3 linked regions of the Arabidopsis thaliana genome follow. The protein of the gene in region 1 purifies or fractionates together with the protein of each later gene. This does not show direct contact. Each region holds a gene or a part of one and is shown on either strand. Other genes may lie near its edges.

Evidence for each region.
Region 2: the proteins of AT2G32910 (region 1) and HON5 fractionate together in Arabidopsis thaliana (co-fractionation; one large-scale study listed by BioGRID). This does not show direct contact.
Region 3: the proteins of AT2G32910 (region 1) and AT4G31360 fractionate together in Arabidopsis thaliana (co-fractionation; one large-scale study listed by BioGRID). This does not show direct contact.

What each region holds. Positions count from the first base shown.
Region 1 is NC_003071.7:13,956,903-13,962,618, forward strand, and holds AT2G32910 (DCD (Development and Cell Death) domain protein), read left to right. Parts: upstream 1-2,164; 5' UTR 2,165-2,300; intron 2,301-2,748; 5' UTR 2,749-2,782; coding exon 2,783-3,967; intron 3,968-4,099; coding exon 4,100-4,216; intron 4,217-4,313; coding exon 4,314-5,087; 3' UTR 5,088-5,216; downstream 5,217-5,716. Other genes in the region: ATZW10 (centromere/kinetochore protein, putative (ZW10)), read left to right, coding at 21-150, 264-346, 485-568; AT2G32905 (B3 domain protein, putative (DUF313)), read left to right, coding at 1,523-2,164; PDIL2-3 (PDI-like 2-3), read right to left, coding at 5,600-5,716.
Region 2 is NC_003070.9:17,973,087-17,978,737, reverse strand, and holds HON5 (high mobility group A5), read left to right. Parts: upstream 1-2,074; 5' UTR 2,075-2,436; coding exon 2,437-2,676; intron 2,677-2,761; coding exon 2,762-3,655; intron 3,656-4,191; coding exon 4,192-4,266; intron 4,267-4,359; coding exon 4,360-4,590; 3' UTR 4,591-5,096; downstream 5,097-5,651.
Region 3 is NC_003075.7:15,220,094-15,224,258, forward strand, and holds AT4G31360 (selenium binding protein), read left to right. Parts: upstream 1-1,749; 5' UTR 1,750-1,851; coding exon 1,852-2,174; intron 2,175-2,583; coding exon 2,584-2,680; intron 2,681-2,817; coding exon 2,818-2,877; intron 2,878-3,136; coding exon 3,137-3,217; 3' UTR 3,218-3,534; downstream 3,535-4,165. Other genes in the region: FLA5 (FASCICLIN-like arabinogalactan protein 5 precursor), read right to left, coding at 3,745-4,165.

The sequences.
Region 1 (5,716 bases):
GTTTGCTTATATATTCTCAGCTACAAAAACTGATTTATCTCATGTTGAAGAATCTATCTTCTGTACTCGATTCCGTGAGATCTGCAGATGAGACTTCTCGTCCTCTTGATGATATCATACCATCTTTGCGCAAAACCCGTAAACTAGCAGGCATGTCTTTTCTTTCTTTTTTCTTTTAAATATCCCTCAGTTTATTGCTAACTTGACATTGGCGCAGCGAAGTTTTCTTACCATGGCTTTTCTTATTGTTTATCATTTTCCAGAACTATTGGATATGCCTCTCATGTCTATAACTTCAGCTTGGGAAAGCGGGGAGTTATTTAGATGCAATTTCACAAGAACAGAGGTACAATCTTTTTAAATCGTTTGACCTCGTGTCCTACTACCTGATATATGGATTAAGGCTATTTCTTATGGTGATTATTGGATCTTTGATTATTGGTTATGGTGATTCTGAAAGCTTTTGGAATGTACTTGGTTACAGGTACAAGATTTCATCAAAGCTATATTTACAGATTCGCCGCTGAGAAAAGAATGCTTATGGAGGATAGACGAGGTTAACCAGTAGATTGGAAATGATAAAACTTAAAAAAAAAACTCAAGACTTGTGAGAAGAAGCAAGTGAAAGCCTATTTTGGCAAAAGAGCCATGAGGTATTTTAATGTCAGCAGCTTGTAACATCGACGACGCACTCTTGTGTAAGAATATATATGTAAAGAGAGTTTTAGCTGATGAGTTTAAAACTTTAGGTTTAAAAGCGTGTTCCAGATTTTGTTGTACATTTGGGCTTTAGATTCAACAAGTAAAACGCTCTGGGTAACAACAATTTTCCGGTACAAATTCTCCAAATATTGCATTTTCCAGTTAGCTAAAAACTTGAAAACCCTTAACTAAGAAACTAATATAAAAAAAATAAAAATAAAAAAGAAGAAACTGATAGGATATTGAAAACCGTAACACATGAAAACACTAAATATTTCTATGAAATTATTGATACAATGATTTTCAATGAAATTAAACTTTTGATATACTTATTCAAATATAATGTATGATGTGTTTAGATGCTAATATTATATTAAAAACTATTTCATAAACTAATATTAAGTTATGAACACTAGGAAAATATTTTGGTCTCATAAACCAACAAAATTACATTAAGAAATAGAGTTAAGAGACATTGGTATTTTTCCTTTTTTTTTTTTGTCGACATTGGTATTTTTCCTTATGTTGGCCACATGTTTAAAATGTTAACAAAATCACATAACGGTCATAATTAAGGGCCCGAAAAGGAAAAATTTCATTAGAAGATCTTATTAGATTTAGTGATCTATCAAGAACTTGAGATGACGTCATATATTTCTATTTAATAACACCACACATCTATCTATCTCTACCTTCTCTCTTACTTTCAAGTTTCCATTCTCACGCTCATTGTCTTTCCTCTAGCTCTCTTTCTTTCTTTCTTCTTCCCCATCTTTAGGTTTCTTGCGTACAACGTTACAAATTCTTTTTACAATTTCCCATGTCTTCCAGAGAATCGAAGAGAATGGATGAATCTGATGATCCTAGGGTTTCAGAGTCGAGTGAATTCTCAAACTTCGAGATGTTGATACAAGTCGCTGTCATGGTTTACGATCATGAGTACGGTACTCATGACGAACACAAGTCAAAGACCATTGACGAAGATACAGAGACAGAAGCAAGAATCTTTGGAGATACAATACCTAGAAAGAACAGAACTCACCGATCATCTTCTTCTTCTAACAAGACGATAACACCATGGACGCGTGTGATCGAACAACAGAGATCATCTGAACTACAAAACCCTAACCCGGAATCTGAACCTTCTTCTTCCTCTTGCGTTACCCACTTCAAGAAACGTCGCCACATGGACAAAGAAGAGAGTACTCGCAAGAGACTCAAAATCGATAGTCCTTTAGAGGTGGAACCAATTCAAACATCACCACCGGAATGGCTTTTGAAAGTAATGAAGAGAGAAGAGAACAGCTACAATCCAAAATTGATCTCAACGAGAAAACTCTATAAGACTGATCTCGCTAGTCTTCAAGCACGTCTCTCAGTACCTTTTAAACAAGTGAAAAGTCCAGACTTTTTAACAGAGGAAGAAACAAGAATCATAAAGGAACAAGCTTTCTTCCTCTAAACTCTTTGGTCAATTCCTTCTTCTTTCTATTCGATTGTGATAAGATCTTTCTAGAGATCTAATCAGAACCTTGTGCCGCGGATTTGGAGAAACATCATCATCATCGTCATAGAAATCCTGCTCTTTCTTCGATTCTGTAAGAGTTCTTCGAGCAGACTCTAGATTCGATTTGTTTTTTTCCTTTTCGGGTTTGTTTCAAATCAATCTCAATTTCAGGGTAACCAAAGTTTGAGCTTATTCATTTTGATTCTGCCCGGATCTCTATACATGTCAATTACAGTCTTTTTACATTTTCTTGATTTGGAAACCTTTTCGGGATTTAATTGATTAGCTTAAGATTACAAGTGATGAAAAAAAAGACAGAGACTTTAGCAAATGTTTTCTCTCATCTCTTAATTGCTGTCTTAATTACAATCTTCTTGTTTCAGTTACTGTTTTGTAAGACATTGACATTATAATCTACTTGTTTGGAGATTGGAATTATGAGAAGAGAATCTTTCTGATGCCAAATGTCATTGAATAATCATTTGCTAATGTTTCTTTTACCATATGATTCATGATCTCTTTTTCGTTTTATGTTGCAGCGACTAAGCTTTGAAATCTGCTTGTTCCTTGAAAATGGAACTACAAGATGCTATGAATGATGAGAATGAGAAAGCCCCTGAGGCTTCGGTGGTTCAGAATGATGAAGTTTCCGGGAACAATGGGGATGTAGTGGTTGAAGCTGAGGAAAAGGATGGGAATGAGGTTGTAGAACCCGTTGATTCAGGAAAAAGTAAGGCAGATGACGAGTTTGTTGAAAGTCTGTTGGATACCAATCAGGATTTGGCTACCTTCAAAATACCGGTAGAGGAAAATGATACGGAAAATGTGACTGTTGAAGAACCTTCTCTTCCTGCCTCTGTTGAAGCAACTTCTTCTGGAATGAAAAAGCCTCAGGGTTTACCAGCGAAAACTAAAATTGTTAAGAAAGTAAAGAAGCTGGTAAAAAGGAAAATTATAAAAGGCACTGCTGCTCAGGTGGCTGGTGAGGAGAATGTCATCAAGGAAGGTGAACAAAGTGGAGAGCCTTCTCTTGGCGAAAGCGAAAAGGACAAAGATTCAGAACCCTATCTTGGAGGAAACGATATGGAATTTCAGAAAGAATTAGCAGTAGCTACTCAACCTGCAGTTGATGTTAAAGTTGTTGGAGGGGAGCCTTCTGGTAAGGAAACACTAAAAGAGGTAAAGGGAAAAGCTAAGAGACAAAGGGAAAAAAAATTCAAAGGTACTCTTGCTCAGGGGATGGATAAAGAGAGTGCAATTGATAAGAGAGACGTCGGAGCTTCTCCAGGAGGAAACTTGATCGTAGCTAAGAAAGCTATTGACGGTTCTGTAGAAGCCAAAACTGGCTTGACTGAAGACAAGAGACGCAAAAGGAAGAGACCAACAAAACAGGTTAGAGATTCAAACAAGAAACTTAGGCAAGATGTAGTAGCTGGTGCTGATACAACAGAACAGGGAATGGAAGAGAGGAAAGAGCAGCCGGTTGACCCTGAGAAAAGAGAAATGGATGGGCCTGGGAAAGTAAAGATTGGTGGATTGATCTTCATGTGCAATACAAAAACTAGACCCGATTGTTTTCGGTTCAGTGTAATGGGTGTACAAGAGAAAAGGAAGGATTTTGTCAAGGGTATCAAGCCTGGGCTTAAGCTTTTTCTTTATGATTATGATCTCAAACTCCTCTATGGAATTTTTGAAGCATCCTCTGCTGGTGGTATGAAACTTGAGCGCAATGCTTTTGGTGGATCCTTTCCTGCTCAGGTAACATTGTGTGTCACCCATGTTTGTTAGCCGTTTTCCATTTGTACAACTTGTCTCGAAGATGATATCAGTTTTCTTTCGTCGGAATTTATTTAACTTACGGATCTAGATGATGATATTCTTTGGATTCAGGTGCGCTTTAAGGTTTTTAGTGATTGCATCCCATTGGCTGAGAGCCAATTCAAGAAAGCAATCATAGAGAACTACAATAATAAAAACAAGTTCAAAACAGAATTGACTCATAAGCAGGTGACCTTCATATTTTCATCATTTTCTCTAATTTATATCTTACTATTAACACGTCTTAATCACTCTGTTCGTCTCTTCTATTATGGTGTTCTTAAAGGTATTTAAGCTTAAAAAGCTTTTTCGGCCAGCTGCGATCCCTGCACAAGTTACCCACACCCAGCAAATCCCTGTTCCTCGTGATACTGACAGGAAAAGATCTGATAGAGACCGGTATGCCCCTGGTAGCAGTAGGGGTCACCCAACACGCAAACATGAAAGAAGACGTGCTTCACCTCCTCCACGCAGAGAAGAACAACCGCGTGATTTATATCTTAGTGAAAGGGAGTATCGAACATATGGCTTGAGAGGAGGAGAAACAACCCAGCATTACCAAATTCCACCTCCAGAATCCTCTTCTTCTTACCACATTGTCAACCGAGACCGTGTTCATTTGGATTCTTACCGTTCATCTATGGACCATGACCGGCTTTTGAGACAAGCAGAGATTGAGAGGCATGACCGTAGGGAAGTTCGTCACCCTCATTTGTCTGAGAGAGACTACCAGACGTATGATCATCTTACTTCTAGACGGGAAATCTTGGTTCGAAACTCGCCTGACCCACCAGATTCAGCGGTTACTCTGGATTCCTACAGGAGAGATCCGTATTACATTTGTGAGCGCCATGCTCTTGAAAGACCACCAAGGACATACATGGTTTCTCCAGGTAGACAAGATGATGACCTGTATTCCCGGTATGTAACACCGGATTCATTGGCTGAGTACTACCGATCATCACAAAGATACCCAAGCGTAACTGAACCTGAGCTTCCGCCTTCGTTAGTAACATCCCGGTATGCTTATTCTCGGTCTTTGCCTTATTCTCACCGCTGAAATCAGAATGTGTAATTCTCCTATTCCTTTGAATTTATCTGATGTTTAATGTATCTTGGATATGGATACTAAAGAGTTGCTGCCAAAGGGTTCGACTTAAATTTGGTCGTTATACCAGTGGGTTTCTTCAAATAATATCTCTTCTATCTAATAGATAGTGCTAGAACCAAGAATACTAGTCAATGATTGCCTGTTCATATTGCCAGAAGTAAGAGGATTGATACTTCATAGTGCTTAGTTGATATAAGAAGAAATCCGATATAGGTACTAAAATCCTCAAATCGACATGCATGTTGTGGATTGCTTCAAGGATAACATGAAACTCCACTGAAAAACTAGCAATGAACTCTAATATAACTCCAGCATAGATTCTCTGTTATGTGTCTATCGTAATACAAAATCCGTACATGTTCTATCTCTTGAAATGCTCTTACTTTCTTTTCAAAAATAAAAAAGGGTGAAATACATTCAGCGGTTCAGATCCCAAAAGTAGCAAAATCCCCTTGGATTCTTCACAACTCATCCTTAGAACCAACAGCATCATCACCTCCCATGAGCTCATCAAGTGAGAATTCATCTTCCTCAATCAACTCTCCATCTTTACCATCCCACTCCTTTGTCTTCACGAT
Region 2 (5,651 bases), on another chromosome or scaffold:
TCCAAAGATAAAAATCATCGGGTTTAGACTATTTTATGTAGTGAAGAGATCGTTGCTCTTTGTGATATTGACGGTGATGGAAAGATAACGGCCAAAGAGTTCCATTTGAAGATGACCCGGATTGGGAATACTTATAGGAGTTCTGATACATATAATGATGGTTATTGAGTTTGAGGAATTTAAGGCTAATATTGTTTAGTTACTTATTAAAAGGTAATATACTTGTTCACCAAGTAGTGTCTTGCTTATATTCATTGTTTAGAGGTTTCTCAACTTGCTATCAATGATACATTCGGCCCAAATTTTTGTGTTGTGGTGGACCTGGTTGCATTTGTTGACTTTAGTCAGCTTGGGCATTTATCCATTTGTGGACATCATTGTTACATTGTAGACCTATGAGATTGATAATATTTATGGTTAAACATTATTATATCGTTTTTCAATTTCCAGATGCGCCAAACCATCCCAAAAGGTAGAAGTCGGATATATGTAACAGAATGATTTGGAGTTATTGAGATTTGGACTTAAGATCATTCGTTAGGCTGAATAGAGCAGTCCATAGAATCCCTGAACATCTCCAATTAGCGTAATCTCAAGTGAAGAATAGAGACTTGGCCCTTTAGATGTCATGCTTATTCTGCACAAACTCAAATAATTCGTTTGTTTTCTTCCAAATTGCTCTAGTAAACTCAAATATTTGTTTCCTCCTCCAATTTTTGTTATCTCTAGGATTCTATGAATATGCGTTTTATTCAAATATTATTAAGAATGTCTCATAGTTAACCTTTTGAGTTGAACACTTATAATAATTGGCACACACATATATATATATATATATATATATATACTGTAACCAGTAGTTTTTGTTTTGCAACTTTGCAAAAACACAAATAATCATCGGCGAATAAGAAATGATTAACCGTAGGAACAGACTGAGCGATGCGTATGCTCTCGATGCCACCATTTGTTTCAACTTTGATGATCAGTTGACTTAAAATCTCTGCACATAGAATAAAAATATATGAAGACAAATCATCGCTTTTGTCGAATTCTCCATGAAAGCTTCCAATTTTCATAGGAAGTGCCATTTACGAGGACATAGTATGAGATGGTGTTAATGTTCATCATAATCCAAATAAATGTTAAAACATTAAGAATATGAAAAAATGATTTGTTATAAATGTAGATAATGAAATTATAAATCTTATTCTAGAAAAATTTTAAATATAAAAAATGAAAACTTTTTTGAAAACTTTCAAAATTAGATAAGAAAATTGTTTATATATAATTTATTATGGTACATGAATAGAGAATTAGAATAACAAAACAAAAAGTTGAAAGAAACACAAAATGAAAAGGCTATACAAGAGAATTTAAATCAGCCATGACGAGAGAGTAACCCAATTAGACTATGGTGATTTAAATCTAAACTTTTTATTTTAGAAAGTTTATATTAAAGAATATAAATTTGAATGTTTGTGGTGTGAAAAAATTCAACTTACCTTTATTGGTTATGTATATATGGATTGAAAAATGAATAAGGAGTTCAAATATATTTTCTGAGCTTAATTTTTTTAAATCATATTAGTGTCATTTTGCGTAGTTTAACAAAGAATCTCGATGAAAATTTAGCGTTGTAAATTTATTTCGTTAAGCAACTTAACGAAGTGTCTTATTTCAAAAAGTCAATAAAATTAGCTATTAAAAATTTAAAACAAAAAGTGAATTAAAATTTGAGTTTTATTTTACCTAAAACAGTATTAACGTGTTTATAATAGCACTTTTTAACTGTTGGAGATTTTCTTTTTCTTTTTTTTGAATTAGAGTGAGATAGTGATCAAGAAAATGAAGAAGGTGTTAGTGCACATCATATAATCCAAGTAAATGTTAAAACATAAAGAATATGAAAAACTGATTGGTTAGAAATATACATTTTTTTTTGTAAACCGATATTAAGTAGAGAATTTAGTATAAAAAATCTTGTTCTAGAAATTTATTAGTATAAAGAAATGAAAGCATGTTTAAAAACTTTCAGAATTAGAAAAAAAATGTTTACATATAGTTTAATATGGTACTTGAATAGAGAAGCAGAAAAACATATAAAAAAAATTGAAAGAAACACAAAACTCAATTTTAATAACAAAAGCAAAAAACGCCACGTCATCGATCCGTGTCGTAAATCAGCACCAAAATACACTTTCAACGGTCAGATTTTAACTATCTCATCTGTCGTCATTTTCGATCTCTCTCTTACACTACTACACACACTCTCTCTCCTCCAACCTAACTATTTTTTATTTTTTATCTTCTCCTTCCACAAAACTTTTTTAATTTTATCTGAAAAATTAAAACAACCGAAACAAAAAAAAAAAACTAAAAATCAAAAATCTCATCACCTTCCTTGCTCTGTATTTTTTCTCTCTCACTAAATCCTCCATGGATCCTTCTCTCTCTGCAACCAATGATCCTCATCATCCTCCTCCTCCTCAGTTCACATCTTTCCCTCCTTTCACCAACACCAACCCCTTCGCCTCTCCAAACCACCCCTTCTTCACCGGACCCACCGCCGTCGCGCCGCCAAACAACATCCATCTCTATCAAGCAGCTCCTCCGCAGCAGCCACAAACATCTCCAGTTCCTCCTCATCCATCTATTTCCCACCCTCCTTACTCTGACGTAAGCTCTTCTTAGCTCATTCTTACATTTTGACTTTAAAGTTAGGGTTTTTAATTTCCACTCACTTTTTTTTTTCGTTGATTAGATGATTTGCACGGCGATTGCAGCGTTAAACGAACCAGATGGGTCAAGCAAGCAAGCTATTTCGAGGTACATAGAGAGAATTTACACTGGGATTCCTACTGCTCATGGAGCTTTGTTGACACACCATCTCAAGACTTTGAAGACCAGTGGGATTCTTGTCATGGTTAAGAAATCTTACAAGCTTGCTTCTACTCCTCCTCCTCCTCCTCCTACTAGTGTAGCTCCTAGTCTTGAACCTCCCAGATCTGATTTCATAGTCAACGAGAACCAACCTTTACCTGATCCGGTTTTGGCTTCTTCTACTCCTCAGACTATTAAACGTGGTCGTGGTCGACCTCCAAAAGCTAAACCAGATGTTGTTCAACCTCAACCTCTGACTAATGGAAAACTCACCTGGGAACAGAGTGAATTACCTGTCTCTCGACCAGAGGAGATACAGATACAGCCGCCACAGTTACCGTTACAGCCACAGCAGCCGGTTAAGAGACCGCCGGGTCGTCCTAGAAAAGATGGAACTTCGCCGACGGTGAAGCCAGCTGCTTCTGTTTCCGGTGGTGTGGAGACTGTGAAACGAAGAGGTAGACCTCCGAGTGGAAGAGCTGCTGGGAGGGAGAGAAAGCCTATAGTAGTCTCAGCTCCAGCTTCAGTGTTCCCGTATGTTGCTAATGGTGGTGTTAGACGCCGAGGGAGACCAAAGAGAGTTGACGCTGGTGGTGCTTCCTCTGTTGCTCCACCACCACCACCACCAACTAACGTAGAGAGTGGAGGAGAGGAGGTTGCAGTCAAGAAACGAGGAAGAGGACGGCCTCCTAAGATTGGAGGTGTTATCAGGAAGCCTATGAAGCCGATGAGAAGCTTTGCTCGTACTGGAAAACCCGTAGGAAGACCCAGAAAGGTAAAATATCATTCCTTTTTGTCTCTGCGATTACACAGTGATTATAGAGAACTTGAATATTTCTAGTCAAATAGATAAGAGAATAAAAGTTGGAACTTTTGTCTTGTGAATAAATGTCACTTTCCATTCTCAACATTGTCTCTTTCGAGCGTGTGTGTGGAGACTAGAGAGTATCTAACTAAATAAATTCTAGAGTTTAATTTATATTCGTGTCTCTGCTTTTGGCCTATACTTAATCTGGTTTTGTGGTGTACTATTAATCTAAGATATCTCTTTGTTTGGTAATCAAGAGCAACTTGGTAGGTGGCTCGCTTTAGCAACCAATAATTGTTCAGTTGAAGTGTGAGAATTACATATGAACTTATCTTTTGAGACAGACATCTTATCAAGTTTTGTCTGTTTTAAGCAGAAATTTAGTTAATTCAGTCAAAGTTCAAGAGTTTGTGTATTTCCAAGTCCACTAGAATTTCTTTGTCTATTATATTGATGAGTTAGTTATCTAATTACATTTATATTATTGCCATTTATAAACATAGAATGCGGTGTCAGTGGGAGCTTCTGGACGACAAGATGGTGACTATGGAGAACTGAAGAAGAAGTTTGAGTTGTTTGTAAGTAATCTAATGAACAGAAACACAATATGGTCCGTCCTTGGTTTTGATACTTAATTGCTTATGCTTGGTTTTGATATCTCATTTATGCAGCAAGCGAGAGCTAAGGATATTGTAATTGTGTTGAAATCCGAGATAGGAGGAAGTGGAAATCAAGCAGTGGTTCAAGCCATACAGGACCTGGAAGGGATAGCAGAGACAACAAACGAGCCAAAGCACATGGAAGAAGTGCAGCTGCCAGACGAGGAACACCTTGAAACCGAACCAGAAGCAGAGGGTCAAGGACAGACAGAAGCAGAGGCAATGCAAGAAGCTCTGTTCTAAAGATAAAGCCTTGACATAAAAAGCTAGCAAGTGGTGGGTTTACTTGTTGTGTGTTACATGAAATTTTTAATCTTATAAGGGTGTTTGCAGGAGAAAAACAAAAAGAACAATGTGATGAACTGATGATGATGATTGTGTCTCTAACCAAACAACAAGGAGAGGTAGGGTAATGTCTGTAAAGTGAATTAGGATGTTACCATTGTTCATGCTTCCCATCTCTCTCCATCGTCCATATCTGTGTAGGCAGCTTTGTTCTTTGTTCCCTCGTGTTTTTTTTAGACTGTTGTGTCTCTTATTCTATTTTGTCTCCTTAGGCTTTTTAGGAGTTGTTGTTGATGTTTATCAAAAACGCTTATGTAATTTTTATGACCACTTCTACTTTTTATGATGGTTTCTTCAAGTCTCTTACGTTATGTAGTTAGAAAACCATTAAATAAAAGTTGCTTATGTCAGTTGCTCTGTTTTAATTTGAAATCCGGTTTTAATTTTAAGTGTACTTATTGCAGAAATTAGGTAGAAGGTATAGAACGGTTTTACTCTTCACTCACACACCATTTAACCAAATTTCTAAATTTATTACTCGATAAACACTTTTTTAACAAGTTTTCAATACTTTTCTCCAAAAAAATTTTGAATTTGAAATAAAGTAGTGTATTTTTCGATTTTGGTTTTATAAATCAACTTTTTTTTTTGAAAAAGTTAAAAAGAAATCACCACCACATTTGCATGTTATACTATAATACCAAAAAATTAATATTCGTGATTTATTTTAAAAATCTGTGAATTAAAAAGAAAAATGAAATGTTGATAAATAAAAATAAAAACAAGGAGTAAAGGTGGACCCATATCGGTTGACGCAACTGATTCTGAACCTCTCGGTCGTTCGTTTCTACTCTTTCCAAGCTCTAGCCCATGGTGGTGACCTTCTTCTTCTAACCGCGAAAACCATCTCTATCTCTCTTATCTTTCTTCTCCGCCAAGTTTCTCTTTGTAATTTCTTTCTTCTTCCTCCAGATTCTTCAAGCTTCCTTTACCATCTCGCGAATCCTTCTATTAAGTTG
Region 3 (4,165 bases), on another chromosome or scaffold:
CTGTTGATCCTTCTTGGTACCCTCGACTTGAAACTCACTACACATATGGATCATGTTCGGTGTCTTGTTTCAATCTTTAGACAAAAGAATACCCACGGCTTAAAACATTATGTCTTTAGACAGAGACTCGAGGTTCGAAAGTAACCAATCTTTTGTCAAAAAGATTGGATTTGGTTATGTTTGGTGCAAGGAAAATGGTACCCACGGCTTTAAACTTTAGTCTTTCGAGTGAACTGAAACTTGAGATTCCAACATTGATTCTTTTGGTACCCACGGCTTGAATATCTTTAGACATATGGATCATGTTCGGTCTCTTGTGTCAGTCTTTAGACAAAGATCAAGTTACCCACGGCTTAAAATAGTCAGAGACTTGAGGTTCGAAGTAACCAATCCTTTAGACAAAAGATTGGATTGGATTGGCTTATGTTTTGGTTGATGAAAAATGGTACCCACGACTTCAAACTTTAGATTGAGACTTGAGATTAGAACATTGATCCTTCTTTGGTACCCACAGTTCAAAAATCTCTAGACATATGGATCATGTTCGGTTTCTTGTTTCAGTGTTTAGACAGAGTTGGATAATAATGGACGATGTTGGGTTATGTTTGGATAATAAATTTACAAGACCAGATTTTAAACAATGGAAATTTGGATAATAAATTTACAAGACGATGTTGAATAACCGGTTTTGGATCCCGTCATTGATAGTTAGCGATTCCACAAATTCAACTTGTTTTTACATCGTTATGTAGATTTAGAATACAAGTTTGTGTTGAAAAAAAATATATACAAGTTTCTTATTTTTTTAGAAAAGATTCCCAAATTTTTCCATACGTTTAGCATGCTACCAACCTTGTAAGAGGGTTCGTCGTTGTGTGAGATTAGTGTAATTTGTTATGGGATCAGGATCAACCAATCAAGATTTCACCAACTTGCTAATATGTGAAAGACAGACAAATAGAGTAACAGTGAAGACTGAAGATGATGGTTGTGATGTGATGAACAAGTTCTAAAATATTTAGGTCCAAAAGATCTTCCCATGGAGCTTGGTTGTGAAAGTGCTAACTGAGATTTCTCCAACATGCACACATTGTTGCAAAAGCTTCCCCCTGCATTTTATTATACAAACAAACAAACAAAAATGTCACCATAATGGATGAATGTTTGTTCACCATGAGTATGCGACTTATTAACATATTACATTTTAGCATTACTACATCCAAATACTTCAACTATCATCATATATTGGAAATTTGGATTGATGGCTTGAGTCATAAAAACCTACAAAAGGATTGGACGATACTTTTAGTAAAATCTCTTAAAATTGTCCGCAGTGACCAAAATGCTAAAAAGCTAGAAGGATATACAGACTTTTATCTTACTTTATGTATCAGAAAATCAATATTTCTTAATAAATATGATAAAGTGTTTCAGTTTATTTTGAGTTTAGAAAAAGCCAAATGAATTGGAATCAAAATAATGTAGGTAAAAAAGAGAAGTGGAATTAAAATAAAATCATTCTATCCAATCAAAACGGTAAGTAGTTGTGCGTTTTAGAGGCAAAACACCACAGCGTTTCGAAGCACGTGGATGTGTCGTGTGATACAGCAGTAGCGCACTATTGGGCATTGAGAATACATAATCATAACCCCTGCAATCTAACGGTCAACCTTTTAATAACCCTTGTAGGTTAAATCTCTACCGTTTATTCGAATTACTTTTCCAAGGTAAGAAAAAAGCAAACACAAAAGGGAATATCAAACAACAAAAAAGTAAGAAAGAGCGGTAAGACAGAGACGGAGAAGAAGGAGAAGAAGATTGTTAAGACGAAACCCTGTTGCTGTCCGTACAATGCCGCCGAAGAAGAGTAAGGCAGATGGAGAAGAAAAGGCGAAACCTTTAACGACGTTGGCGTCGTCTAGAGTGACTCGGAGCATGGACAGTCGAACTCGAAGTCAGACTCAACAAAACGGTGCTAAAGCGGCTGGATCCGCCACTAAGCCGGCGACGAAGAAGGCTAAGAGGAAGAATTCAGCGATTGAGACTGGGAGAGCCAAGAAGGGAAAGAAGGAAGAGGAAGTTGAAGAGCCAGAGGAAGCCGTTGAGGAGGAGGTTGAGAAGGAAGAGCCAGAGGTTGAGGACCCTACGAGAACCAAGATTGTTATAGAACACTGGTAATTTTTGCGTAAATGTTTTCGATTTCTTTAGAGATAATGTTTGGAATCATAAGAGCAAAAATTTAGGTTTTTTTCTTTGAAATTGAATCTAAAAGCCTACAACTTTGGGGTATGTGTTGAGACTTGTGTGTCCGTGTGTAGCAGCTAAGGTTTATTTGCTAGGGTGGAACAATGTGTTAGGTTTTCATCTTGATTCTGCATAAGTTTTTGGTTTGAGTGATTAGTGGTTTATGTTTTGCTCGCATTTGTGAAGAGGACTTGACTATCTGCTTTCTGTTTGTGTTCTTGTCTTGCTTTAGCTGAATTGCAATGCGTAATGGACGTGTTCATTCTATAAATGGAATTTGCTTCTATACTTATGTCTCACAAGAGTTCTTTTTTGTTTTGTTTTGTGATGTTATTGAAGTAAACAATGCAATGCTTTCAAGACAAGAGCTATTCAGGTGAAGGAAGCTTTGGAGGGAGCTGTTCCTGGCGTCACGGTGTCTCTTAATCCTGAAAAGGTAATGCTTTTACTGCAGATGAATATATCGTCATGAATGCTCCGTTTTGACTAATGCGTTAGAGCATACTTTTCACATTATACTTGATAAGATTTTCTTCTAAATTACTAATTCTTTCTTTTGATGTGCTTGAACAGCCAAGGCGGGGTTGCTTTGAGATCCGGGAGGAAGGTGGCCAAACATTCATCAGTCTTTTGGTAAAAACTTTCATTCTAATAAAAACAAATCTCAATTTGTCTCGCTTCTGCATATGATTTGTTCAGTTTGAGTAAGGTTTATTGTTATTACTAATTCTCATAACACCACTTGCTCTATATGCATATGAGAATGAAAATCAACTTGATCCTTATTCATTACGAGAAATGTGTTATTGTGAGTAGAAATCATGAATATGTTTTTGCCTTTCAATCTTAACATAGACCTAAAGATGTAGATTATGTTTATCTCATTTTGTAGGAGATGAAACGTCCATTTGCACCAATGAAGGCACTTGATATGGAAGAAGTCATCGAGGACATCATAAAGAAAGTCAAATGAATCTGTTCTTTGTTTCTGCCTCGGTCTCAGTTTAATCAATTAGGTTTCTGCAGAAGACTTTCTAGAGTAATGTCAGATTTGTTAGGTTCACTTTTATTGTTTCGGTATGAGCACTGTAAGTGCAGTCTCGTCGTTTGGCAATGCATGATTAGTTGATAGAGAAGGATCTCTGTAGTTTTTGGGGTTAACTCGTATTTGTAAGGCTAGTTTATTATTCATCTCGTTGCTTGAAGCAAACCGATGCATAAGTGTTTTTTGTTGTTGGGACCATGCATGGTTCTAACAATCTATGCACTGGTTAAAGCATGTTCTAACACAATTAGAACTGTGTTACAAAATCAATAGGACAAACATCACATTTGCATTCAAAATGGCTGATAAATACAATGCATGATGAGTAGAAAGCTCATTACATTTAGGTTTCTTTCACTTCCAATGGCCGTGTCTCTCTTCTTGGCTAAAAGCTACAGAAAAATTGTTTTGAATCTCACCTACCATTATTGTCTTTAACCCACATCACCCGAATCTTAGAACCCAGCAAAGCTAGCCAAAAATGCTAACAAGAGAATAACATCAAAGCTCCAACCAGCCTTAGAAGCAGAAGAAGATGGTTTAGCCTTATCAGCAGCTTCAATCTTCTCATTATCGGCGCTTGGAGCAGGAGCTGGAGAATCAGCCTCTGGTGTGTCTGTTGCAGGTGCAGGTGGAGTTTTTGGGACAGCAGAATCTGGGGAATTGTCATCAGCAGCTGGTCCTGGAGCTGGAACCACTGAAGCATCCATGGGAGTTGGATATGGAGCTACATGAACGTATGGTGGTGGAGGTGGGAAAATTGCAAGGCTGAGTCCAGGAGCCACTATTGGCATGGTAATCTGGATGATAGAGAGGTTATATGGATTGTGGTACACCGTCGAGACATACTCAGCGTTTAAAGGAGAGTTCTTCACT